Linked DNA regions of Neurospora crassa OR74A. The protein of the gene in region 2 interacts with the protein of the main gene of each other region in a pairwise test. Links are inferred from orthologs where the notes say so. Each region holds a gene or a part of one and is shown on either strand. Other genes may lie near its edges.

Region 1 (4,569 bases), about 780 kb from region 2:
TATTCTTCTGATGCAAGCTTGGACGATGCTGCCTGGATGCGGAGCACCGCAGACCGACTTGTTTCAGTCTCTGCCCATCACCGACACCCATTTCTCGACGACTTGCCTTCACCCGCCAAGAAGGTGAAGACGCGCCATCCTTCTACAAGCCCCTCAATACAGACACCTCTGATACCGGAATACGAGGCCAAGGTCAAGGCCTGTCAAGAGTTCATCGCAGCCGGCGACTCTTACGAGCTCTGTCTCACAGACCAAACCAAGATCACTCGGCCCCTGAGCGACATGATCCCGTCATCTGCTCCACAAGAAAATCAAGGACTGCAACAACAGCAACAACAACAACAACAACAGCGAATAAACTCAACCTTCAACCGAAAGCAGCAGCAACAGCGTCGCTCCTCCTCCTCCTCCTCCCCCATCCCCTCCTCCTGGCATCTCTACAAAAAGCTCCGCTCCCGACAACCAGCCCCATTCGCGTCCTACCTGCGCCTCGGCGGCGCGACGCTCGTCAGCGCCTCGCCCGAGCGGTTCTTGACGTACAACCGGCACGGGCGGTGCTCAATGCGGCCGATGAAGGGAACAGTGCGCAAGTCGGAAGCGGTCTCGACGCTCGAGCAGGCAGAGAAGATTCTGCACGTGCCCAAGGAGGAAGCCGAGAACCTGATGATTGTCGACTTGGTCCGGCACGACTTGCATTCGATTTGCGGGGCGGGTAACGTTGAGGTGAGCGATCTGCTCAAGGTGGAGGAGTATCAGAGTGTGTTTCAGATGATTACTGTTGTTGAAGGGCAGCTACCCCCACCCTCTGATGACGAGAAGAGATACACGGGACTGGACGTCCTCGCGGCTAGTCTGCCGCCGGGAAGCATGACGGGAGCCCCCAAGAAACGCAGCTGCGAGCTGTTGCAGCAAATTGAGCAGAACAGTGAGCGCAGTTTGTACTCGGGTGTTGTTGGCTACATGTGTGTCAGCGGCAGAGGAGATTGGAGCGTGACGATCCGAAGTCTGTTCCGGTGGGACGATGAGCGGGTAACTGTGCAGGGACAAGGAGAAGATGGCCAGAGTGAGGAAGAACATGAGGTGTGGCATATTGGCGCTGGAGGAGCGGTTACCATTCTGAGTACCCCTGAGGGTGAGCGGGAGGAAATGTTTACGAAACTCGCTGGGCCGTTGAAGGTGTTTGCGGAGCTGGGTTAGACTCGATGAATTGGTGAGAGACAGAGGGTGAGGGGGGGTTCTATGGCGAGCAGAGCTGGTCTGCGGCCAGAGGCTGTGGAAGAAAGGGAAGACGTGAAACAAAAGCAAGATAACTTCATCATTTTGGGCCCAAGCGTGCGTTAGGGTTAGAAGAACACGATATCCAACATATCTAGGGTGTCGTCTTGGTGTCAAGGTTAAAATGGGTTGGAGTTTTGTGGCTGTTATATTAGCTCAACGGATGCATACCTTACGGCGGGATTAGAAAGTAGACTTTTCAACGCGAAGCATTGCAAGTGGAGAGAAAGAAGACGTCAAGCCCTCTCGCTAGATGATTGATCACGGCATAAAATAACCCCATAACTGTCTCGTAATAATCCAAATCCAGCCCAGCCCATAAGCGCTTCATCAGCCAGTGCCCGCCTCTTTCCCGAAACCCATTTGATCATATCCCATAGCTGTCATCCGGCTCAAGTCCCGGCACTTGTACAATCATGGTCTCCCACCATGCGTAAATCGGTTCCGCACCCAACCGTTGTTCGGAAGTCGCTACCTCTTTGTAGTTCTGTGTCATTGTTGTGTGTGTCTCAGACTCTGGACCATTCTGTCGTAGTCGAAATTATTGGTCGGCTAGTCAGAAGTCTTGCTCTTCCTGGAAGAACATGGCGAAGCTGATAATGGTGCCATAGATCAACAGGCCACCGATAACGGACATGATCATGGCCGGGACCGTGATGATGGCCGAGTTTGCGAGAACAACTGGAAGAGCTGTTTGTCGAAGAGGGGAGGAGAGAGATGTCAGCTACCGTACATGCAACACAACACAAACACAGGATACACGCCAGCCACAAGATGGAGGAGTAAACCTACCAAGTCCCATCATGACCAGGAAACCAGTGCAGAAGCGACCCAGATCCAACACCGCAGCGCCCGAGCTCTCAACAAAGTCGTCCGGATTGGCGCAATGGCTGCAGATCCAGTTGGGTATGGGCGCCAACACGTAGGTGGCCACCACCAGCAGCGGGTAGTATGCCTTCCATAGTGCGCATGACAAGATGACGAGGAGGAAGCCCACCGCCAAGACGAAGGAGAGCGCGATGATGGTCTTGAGTCCTGCTGCCATCTCGGGTGGATATGTGAAAGCTTCTGGTTGCGAAGGCGTTCAAGTTTTGGGCACAGTTGAAATCAGGGCGTCGTTTACGCCGGTAACCCGGAGAATCTGCCCAGGTAGAGTCGGAGTGTCGCGGGCCTGCCGGGATCAAAGGTGTTTGTTGCGCAGACGTGGCTAACTGGTAATCGATGGAAATGTAGTGTAAGCGCTGCCTGCTGTTTTTTGTGATCGAGAACCTGACAAACTATCGCGTGGGTTACTCGGCTTGCGCGCTTCGTCGATTCGTTGCTGTAGCAGGCGACAACTCGTGATGGTGGTGATGCAGTGTGCTTCCAGGTTGTGGTGGAGAGTTGCCCGTGTCGTTGGAGGAGCTCCAGCGAGCGGGAACAAGTGACGACTGCCCGCACTGACGCTTTGGCTGTCGTCAGTCAGCCTCTTCCTGGCTCTCGCTCAGCGCATTCCGTTCCATACCTACCTCTACCTATGTAGCGCGCACCTGGCCGCCCGCACTTACACTACAAGTCCTATAAGGTGAGTACAAGCAAAAGTGGGTCTGACTTTCTTTTGGCGGGCAAGGGAGGTACCTGCAGCGACGTACCAGTTGCCTGCCCGCCCGCGCGTTGCCTGTTCCCGCCCTCCGTCACCCAACATCCATCCTCATTGCCTGGGCGGCGGGACCTGACGAAGCTAGGAGCTGCCTGCGCAACTGCCCGCGGGAGGAAGCAACCACTGTCCACTGACCTCCCCCCATCCATCCCACCCAGACTACCTCTACACCACCACCATCGTCACTATCAGCACAAACAACAATCTTTCGCGTCCTCCAAACACCCGCCAGAAGAAACCGACGAGATACTTGCCGGCAAAAATCCCCGATACCCCCGCCGCAATCTGCTCTTGTTTCCCAGTCTCCTCGATAGAGGTGTCCAGCAGCCATGTTCAGGAACAACTACGACAACGACTCGGTCACATTGTAAGCGAAGCTGTCCCGCAGCCGCCAGCTAGACTGGGGGCCCTGCTTCCAAACGCCCAAAGCTCTGCACTTGACGAGGTCTGCCCTCGACATTCAGCTAACAACTGCTTTCCCTCCAGCTCTCCGCAAGGGCGAATTTTCCAGGTCGAATATGCGGCGGAAGCAGTAAAGCAGGGTTCGGTGGTGGTGGGAATTGCTAGCAAGACACACGCCGTCCTGGTAGCGATCAAGGTACTTCGCCCCGACCACCCCTCGCGCACCACCCTGCCGATACATGTATCCTCCCATCCATCCTAGGGCCAAGTGAAGCTGACCATGTTCCTGTCACTTTGTCCAGCGTAACGCCGAAGAACTCTCATCGTACCAAAAGAAGCTCTTTCCCATCGACGAACATGTCGGCATCGCCATCGCCGGCCTCACCTCGGACGCGCGCGTCCTCTCCAACTTCATGAAGCAGCAGTCCCTCGGCCACCGCCTCACGTACGGCCGCAACATGCCCGTGCGGACCCTTGTCGACATGATCGGATCCAAGGCGCAGATCAACACGCAACACTACGGTAAGCGGCCCTACGGTGTCGGTCTCCTGGTCGCCGGCGTTGACGACCACGGCCCGCACCTTTTCGAGTTCCAGCCCAGCGGCATGACCGAGGAGATGGTGGCCTTTGCCATTGGCGCCCGCAGCCAGATGGCGCGCACATATTTGGAGAAGAACCTAGAGGCCTTTGCCGACTGCGGCCGCGAGGAGCTGATTCGTCATGGTCTCAAGGCGCTCAAGGAGAGCCTGGTGCAAGACCGCGAGTTGACCATCGACAATACCAGCGTCGCCATTGTGGGTGTCGAGAAGCAGGAGGACGGCACGACCAAGCCGCAGCCATTCATGGTGTACGATGGACAAGACGTCAGCGCATGGATAGAGAGTGTGGCGGATAACCAAGAGGCTGCCCCGGCAGCTGCCGAGGGCGAGGGTATGGATGTCGATAGCTAAAGGTTGAAAATGTGGGGTTTGCTTTGAGGCATAGGTGCAGATTTAGCACATGGAGCGCATACACCCGGAATGAAGTAATGAGATGAACAAGTCCCCTTTATGTTAATGCATTGTTTTGTGTCTACTGACATCATGACGCGAATCCCACCGATCAAGCAAACTGGTACACTAAGAGCTTTAGAATGATGGCCCAGCCTGAGAAACAGGACCCCTGAACGCCGTCGTCCATCCAGAAAGAAGCTGCGCGATGCAAGGTAACAGCAACTGCTTTCCCAAGCAGGAAAGGGAAACCTCAAGCAAACG
Region 2 (4,092 bases):
AGGCTATGATTGACGACGAGACCATCGAGGCTGAGATCAACGGCATGCGCTCGTTGTTCCGTGCCATTGAGGATGCCCTGTTCGCTTGGGCGTCGGGTTCCAAGGATGAGATGCTTGAGGCCAGCGATGGTCTGGGCGAGGGTGATGGGACCAGCGAGACGGAGAAGCTCGTCAAGAGGTGGGGCGAGCGCTGGCTCAGAGTGTTTAAGCGTAGAGCCGCAATTGAAGAGGCGTTCATTGTCGAGGCTCGGAAGGAGAGGGAGAGGAAGGCGGCTGCTGCTGCTGCGGAGCTAGCGGCGGCGCCGGCACAGGAGGACGATATGGCTGTTGATTCTGTTGATGCGGCTGCTGAGGTAACTGCTTGAACAGTTGTCTCGTATAACTGAATACCTTTTACGAAAGAGGGGATGAGGTTATACTAGAACTCGATGGTTTGAAGGGTTTGTCTTTTTCTCGGGCTCGTATTCAATAAAGGGCCAGCCGATTCAGTAGTCTGGCTGGATGGGGTTTTCATAGCGTTGGGAGGTACATAAAAATGGAAGCTTAGTTCAAAAGATCTGCTTGCGTCTTCGTGCCATTTGGCCATCGATGATGCATGGAAAACAGGTGAGAGTAAATGATGCTAAACATCTGAAACTAGAAACCAGGAGCTGTTGTTCTTGAGATTCTACAGCTTCGCCATAACTTTTTTTTGGGTTGTTTTCCTCTTTGATTCCGTTCAATAACGGTACATAACTTAGCCCTAGCGTGATCCCAACGCAGAATCAATAGCTACCCAAGTGATCCCTCCAACTCAACCATCCGTCTCCCTGGGCGCAAGTTTTCATGGTCCTTCCATATCAATAAAAGTATACATGTCCTGTTCGTTCCACTTCATCCCAACTCATCCAGTTCATAACAATGACGAGGAAAACCGAGTCCTTACATGCGGTTTCCTGATTCGGTGCCCGGCATAAAGACCTATTTTCTCTAGTCCGTAGCCAACCTTACCCTACCTTCCTTCTACTCCTCCTCCAACCCCCAAGTCCCCTCTCTTCACCCCTGCGCCGGACTGGAAGGTACTTCGTCAGACCTGTTTGCTGTGAGGGGGGAGACTTGGTGTCGTAGATCTAGTGCGTGTTTGGTAGCAGTAGGTAAGGCGGGTTTTGGTTTTGGTTTTTTTTTTCTTTTTTTTTTTTTTGTGCCCTTACTGTGGTGTGTATATATGTGTGTGTGTGCGGGCGAGGATCTTCGAGACGAGAAATCGATCATAGCCATACTCCTTTGAAGCGCAACACAACCGAACCGAACCGAACCGAACCGGACCCGGCGACTTACAGCGCGAGGTTGTAAGAGTATTCGTCTTCCATGTTTTGGGAGATCCAGAGGACGACAGCGCTGTTTTGTTATTGAAGAGAGGTTGTTAGTTAGTATGTGGACTTGCAAAGATCATGGGTCCTTCTTGTTTCCTCGTCATCTCCTCTTTACCCTTCTCGCCGCCATCTTTTAACTCTCTCTCTTTCGCATAAACCCCCCCAAAAAGAACCAAAGAAAAAGGAACTGAGGGGATAAGAAAAGGGAAAACTCACCTCAACCCAACCAACCCATTAGCAACCAAGTTCTCCACCCCCATTCTCAAAGCCGGAAACCCAACATCCTTCACCACGTACTTGAGCACGAACACCGTGACACCACCGGCCATACCACCCGCCAGACACGCAAAGCCCAAAAACAGCACCACGCGCGCCTTCCACGCCACACCGCTGCCGCTGTAGGAGAAGCTCTCGGAAGAAAGTCGCGCCTTCTCGACGCTGTTGATGATGAGCATGCCGAGCGTGCTGAAGATGAAGGGCAGCCAGTCGACAAAGTGGATGTGCACGTCCGAGGCGTTGAGGGGGGAGTGGGACCAGACGGCCGAGTCGAGGAGGGTGTAGAAGGCTAGGGAGAACTGGATTTTCATTGCATTAGCGGACTGTACGTTGATATGGAGGAGGATGACGAAAATTATGTATGAACCATAACAGCGAGAGAGGATCATGGCATGGCATGGTATCATGGCAAGGAAGGTCACAACGTCAGGTCCGGGAAGGAGAGAATAGGCGCCAAAGAAAAAGAAAAAAGAGGAAAAAAAACGTACAAAAGCACCAGCAGCATAAACCCCCGCGTTCCTCACCCACGCGCTGTTAAGCCATTCAGGCCTGGAGAATCTAAAGAGGCGTTCTTCCGACATGGTCATTTGTTTGTGTCGTGTTGTTGTTTCTTGTATGTCTTTCTTCTTTCTCTTATGCGCTGGCTTCTACGGTAGTGTCGCAAGCCCAGGGTAGATTTAACTAGGTGACGATGCGATCGCGATTCGGTGTCGGCAGTCGGAGTTGTGGTGGTGGTGGTGGTGGTGGTGGTGGTGGTGGTGGTTATCAGAGCTGAGCTGAGATGCCTATCTGTCGTCCGTCGGTGGTATCGGTCGCCCCGGGTTGTGAAAATGACTGCGCGCGATTGCGGAATCGTCGTCTACCAGTCGATCAATCGGTAGAGTAGTTGTAGTTGACGTGACTGGAGCAACTCGTTGGGCAATGATGCTTTTGGTGTTCCTCTCTGATAGCTCTGTCGTCGATCTGGAACTGGAGGATGACGACGTCCGCACGCCGCGGTGCCAGGCGGGCTGGCGGGCAGGTGCTCCACTGTAAGCAGGGACCTGCTTGTCCAATTACTGTGGGTCGGCCGTCCCAAGGCTGTGGCCTAAGCGTTTAGTGGCACGTGACAGCCTTTGTGGTGACATTGTTGCATGTTAATTTTTGTTATGTTGAATCTGCACCGAACATCGCATGAAAGAGCAAGAGTATGTTTTTACGCTTTGTTGATTCTCTCCCTACCATCCATGTCTATACCCTTCCCATGTAAATACAAAGCACTTGTTCCCTCGACCACCCTCTTCGAACTCCCCCTAATAACAGTCCGAACTTTAAAAAAAAAATCAGCGCCTTCCGAGTTCGATAAATCACTGACAACGGTACCAACTCAGCATCCGAGCGTGAACTTCCTTCCATGTGGCTGACAACCAGCCAACGACAGCACCAGGGGAAGTAAGTAACCACAGTTCCCCTCCAGAAGCCAAGACAGCTTGGATGCAGAAAATAAAGACAGAAAGAGTTATTATGACGCTATGCAGTGTAATAGTAAACAATAGTGCAAAGCTGAAAATGTCTTCTGCGGGCGGCGTCGGGCAGACCACAACAAGGTCCCACCCACCAGTCGAAGTCAAAATGATCCCCTTTTAGTGTACATACAATATTCAAACTTCGGCGATGCAACGAGATTGTCCCTCGAAAACCCCCCTCTCCTTGGCCAAACAGGCGAGAGGACAACGCAGGGAAAACCCCCGCATCATGAAAGAACCCGATTAGACGATAGAGACTAATCGTATGGTGGCGAGGAAGAAGTAATTGGAAGAGAAAGATTCGTGACCTGCCCCTTCATCATGCGATGGCCCTTATATTCGGCCAAGAGAGGACAACTGGCTCGAGGAGGCGTCAAGATATCAGATTAGGGAGAAACATTACACCTTGTCTGACTCCGTGCCCTGCGCATGGTGAGGAAGCAGTTTGCTGGGCCAGCTACTCAATGGTGACCCATGAGTTGACGAGTTCGTTGGGTCGCTTCGATTTGTTCCCTTTTAAATCTCGATATCCTTCATGTCCTCGGCGTCTTCGACTGTCGTTTGCTTGCCCTTTGACTCCGTCGCCTTTCCGTTCGCCTCGGTTTCAGGCTTCTTCTCCTTATCCTCGCTTGTCCTTTCCTTGGCGGGAGAATCCTCATTGACCTTGATATCCTCCTTGCTATGCTCTCCGCTTGTCCTTGGGGTGTTCAACTCCATCAAGTTGTCGGCGGCTTTGGCCTCGAGGGAGGCGTTGCTAGCCGTGAGAGAGGTTGTGGGGGGTGCCTCCTCAGCAACGCGCGCCAATGGGCTTGGCTTTCCGTAACCTGGTCGGATGGGACTCGACATGGGTGAAGTGCCAGTGAGACGGTGTAGCGACCGGCCACGAGGCTCGTTGTGCTCTGTTGGGCTTTGGTAGGGAGAGCCGGGAGTGGGGGGAGAGCGCATGCCGGAAGCTGACG

Evidence for each region. The genes of interacting proteins can lie anywhere in the genome.
Region 1: the proteins of NCU04188 (region 2) and NCU06713 interact in binary tests that used the Saccharomyces cerevisiae proteins (3 or more experiments, as listed by UniProt). The link is inferred for Neurospora crassa OR74A from reciprocal best matches to the Saccharomyces cerevisiae genes VPS68 and VPS55.

What each region holds. Positions count from the first base shown.
Region 1 is NC_026505.1:4,358,504-4,363,072, reverse strand, and holds NCU06713 (vacuolar protein sorting protein 55), read right to left. Parts: upstream 2,814-4,569; 5' UTR 2,321-2,813; coding exon 2,068-2,320; intron 1,966-2,067; coding exon 1,832-1,965; 3' UTR 1,198-1,831; downstream 1-1,197. Other genes in the region: NCU06714 (para-aminobenzoic acid synthetase), read left to right, coding at 1-1,197; pca-6 (proteasome component PRE5), read left to right, coding at 3,244-3,281, 3,401-3,512, 3,619-4,266. UniProt on the Saccharomyces cerevisiae protein: Involved in protein transport from endosomes to the vacuole.
Region 2 is NC_026505.1:5,140,473-5,144,564, forward strand, and holds NCU04188 (UPF0220 domain-containing protein), read right to left. Parts: upstream 2,621-4,092; 5' UTR 2,216-2,620; coding exon 2,117-2,215; intron 1,928-2,116; coding exon 1,569-1,927; intron 1,378-1,568; coding exon 1,314-1,377; 3' UTR 542-1,313; downstream 1-541. Other genes in the region: NCU04187 (cap binding protein), read left to right, coding at 1-365; cot-2 (glucan synthesis regulatory protein), read right to left, coding at 3,650-4,092. UniProt on the Saccharomyces cerevisiae protein: Involved in vacuolar protein sorting.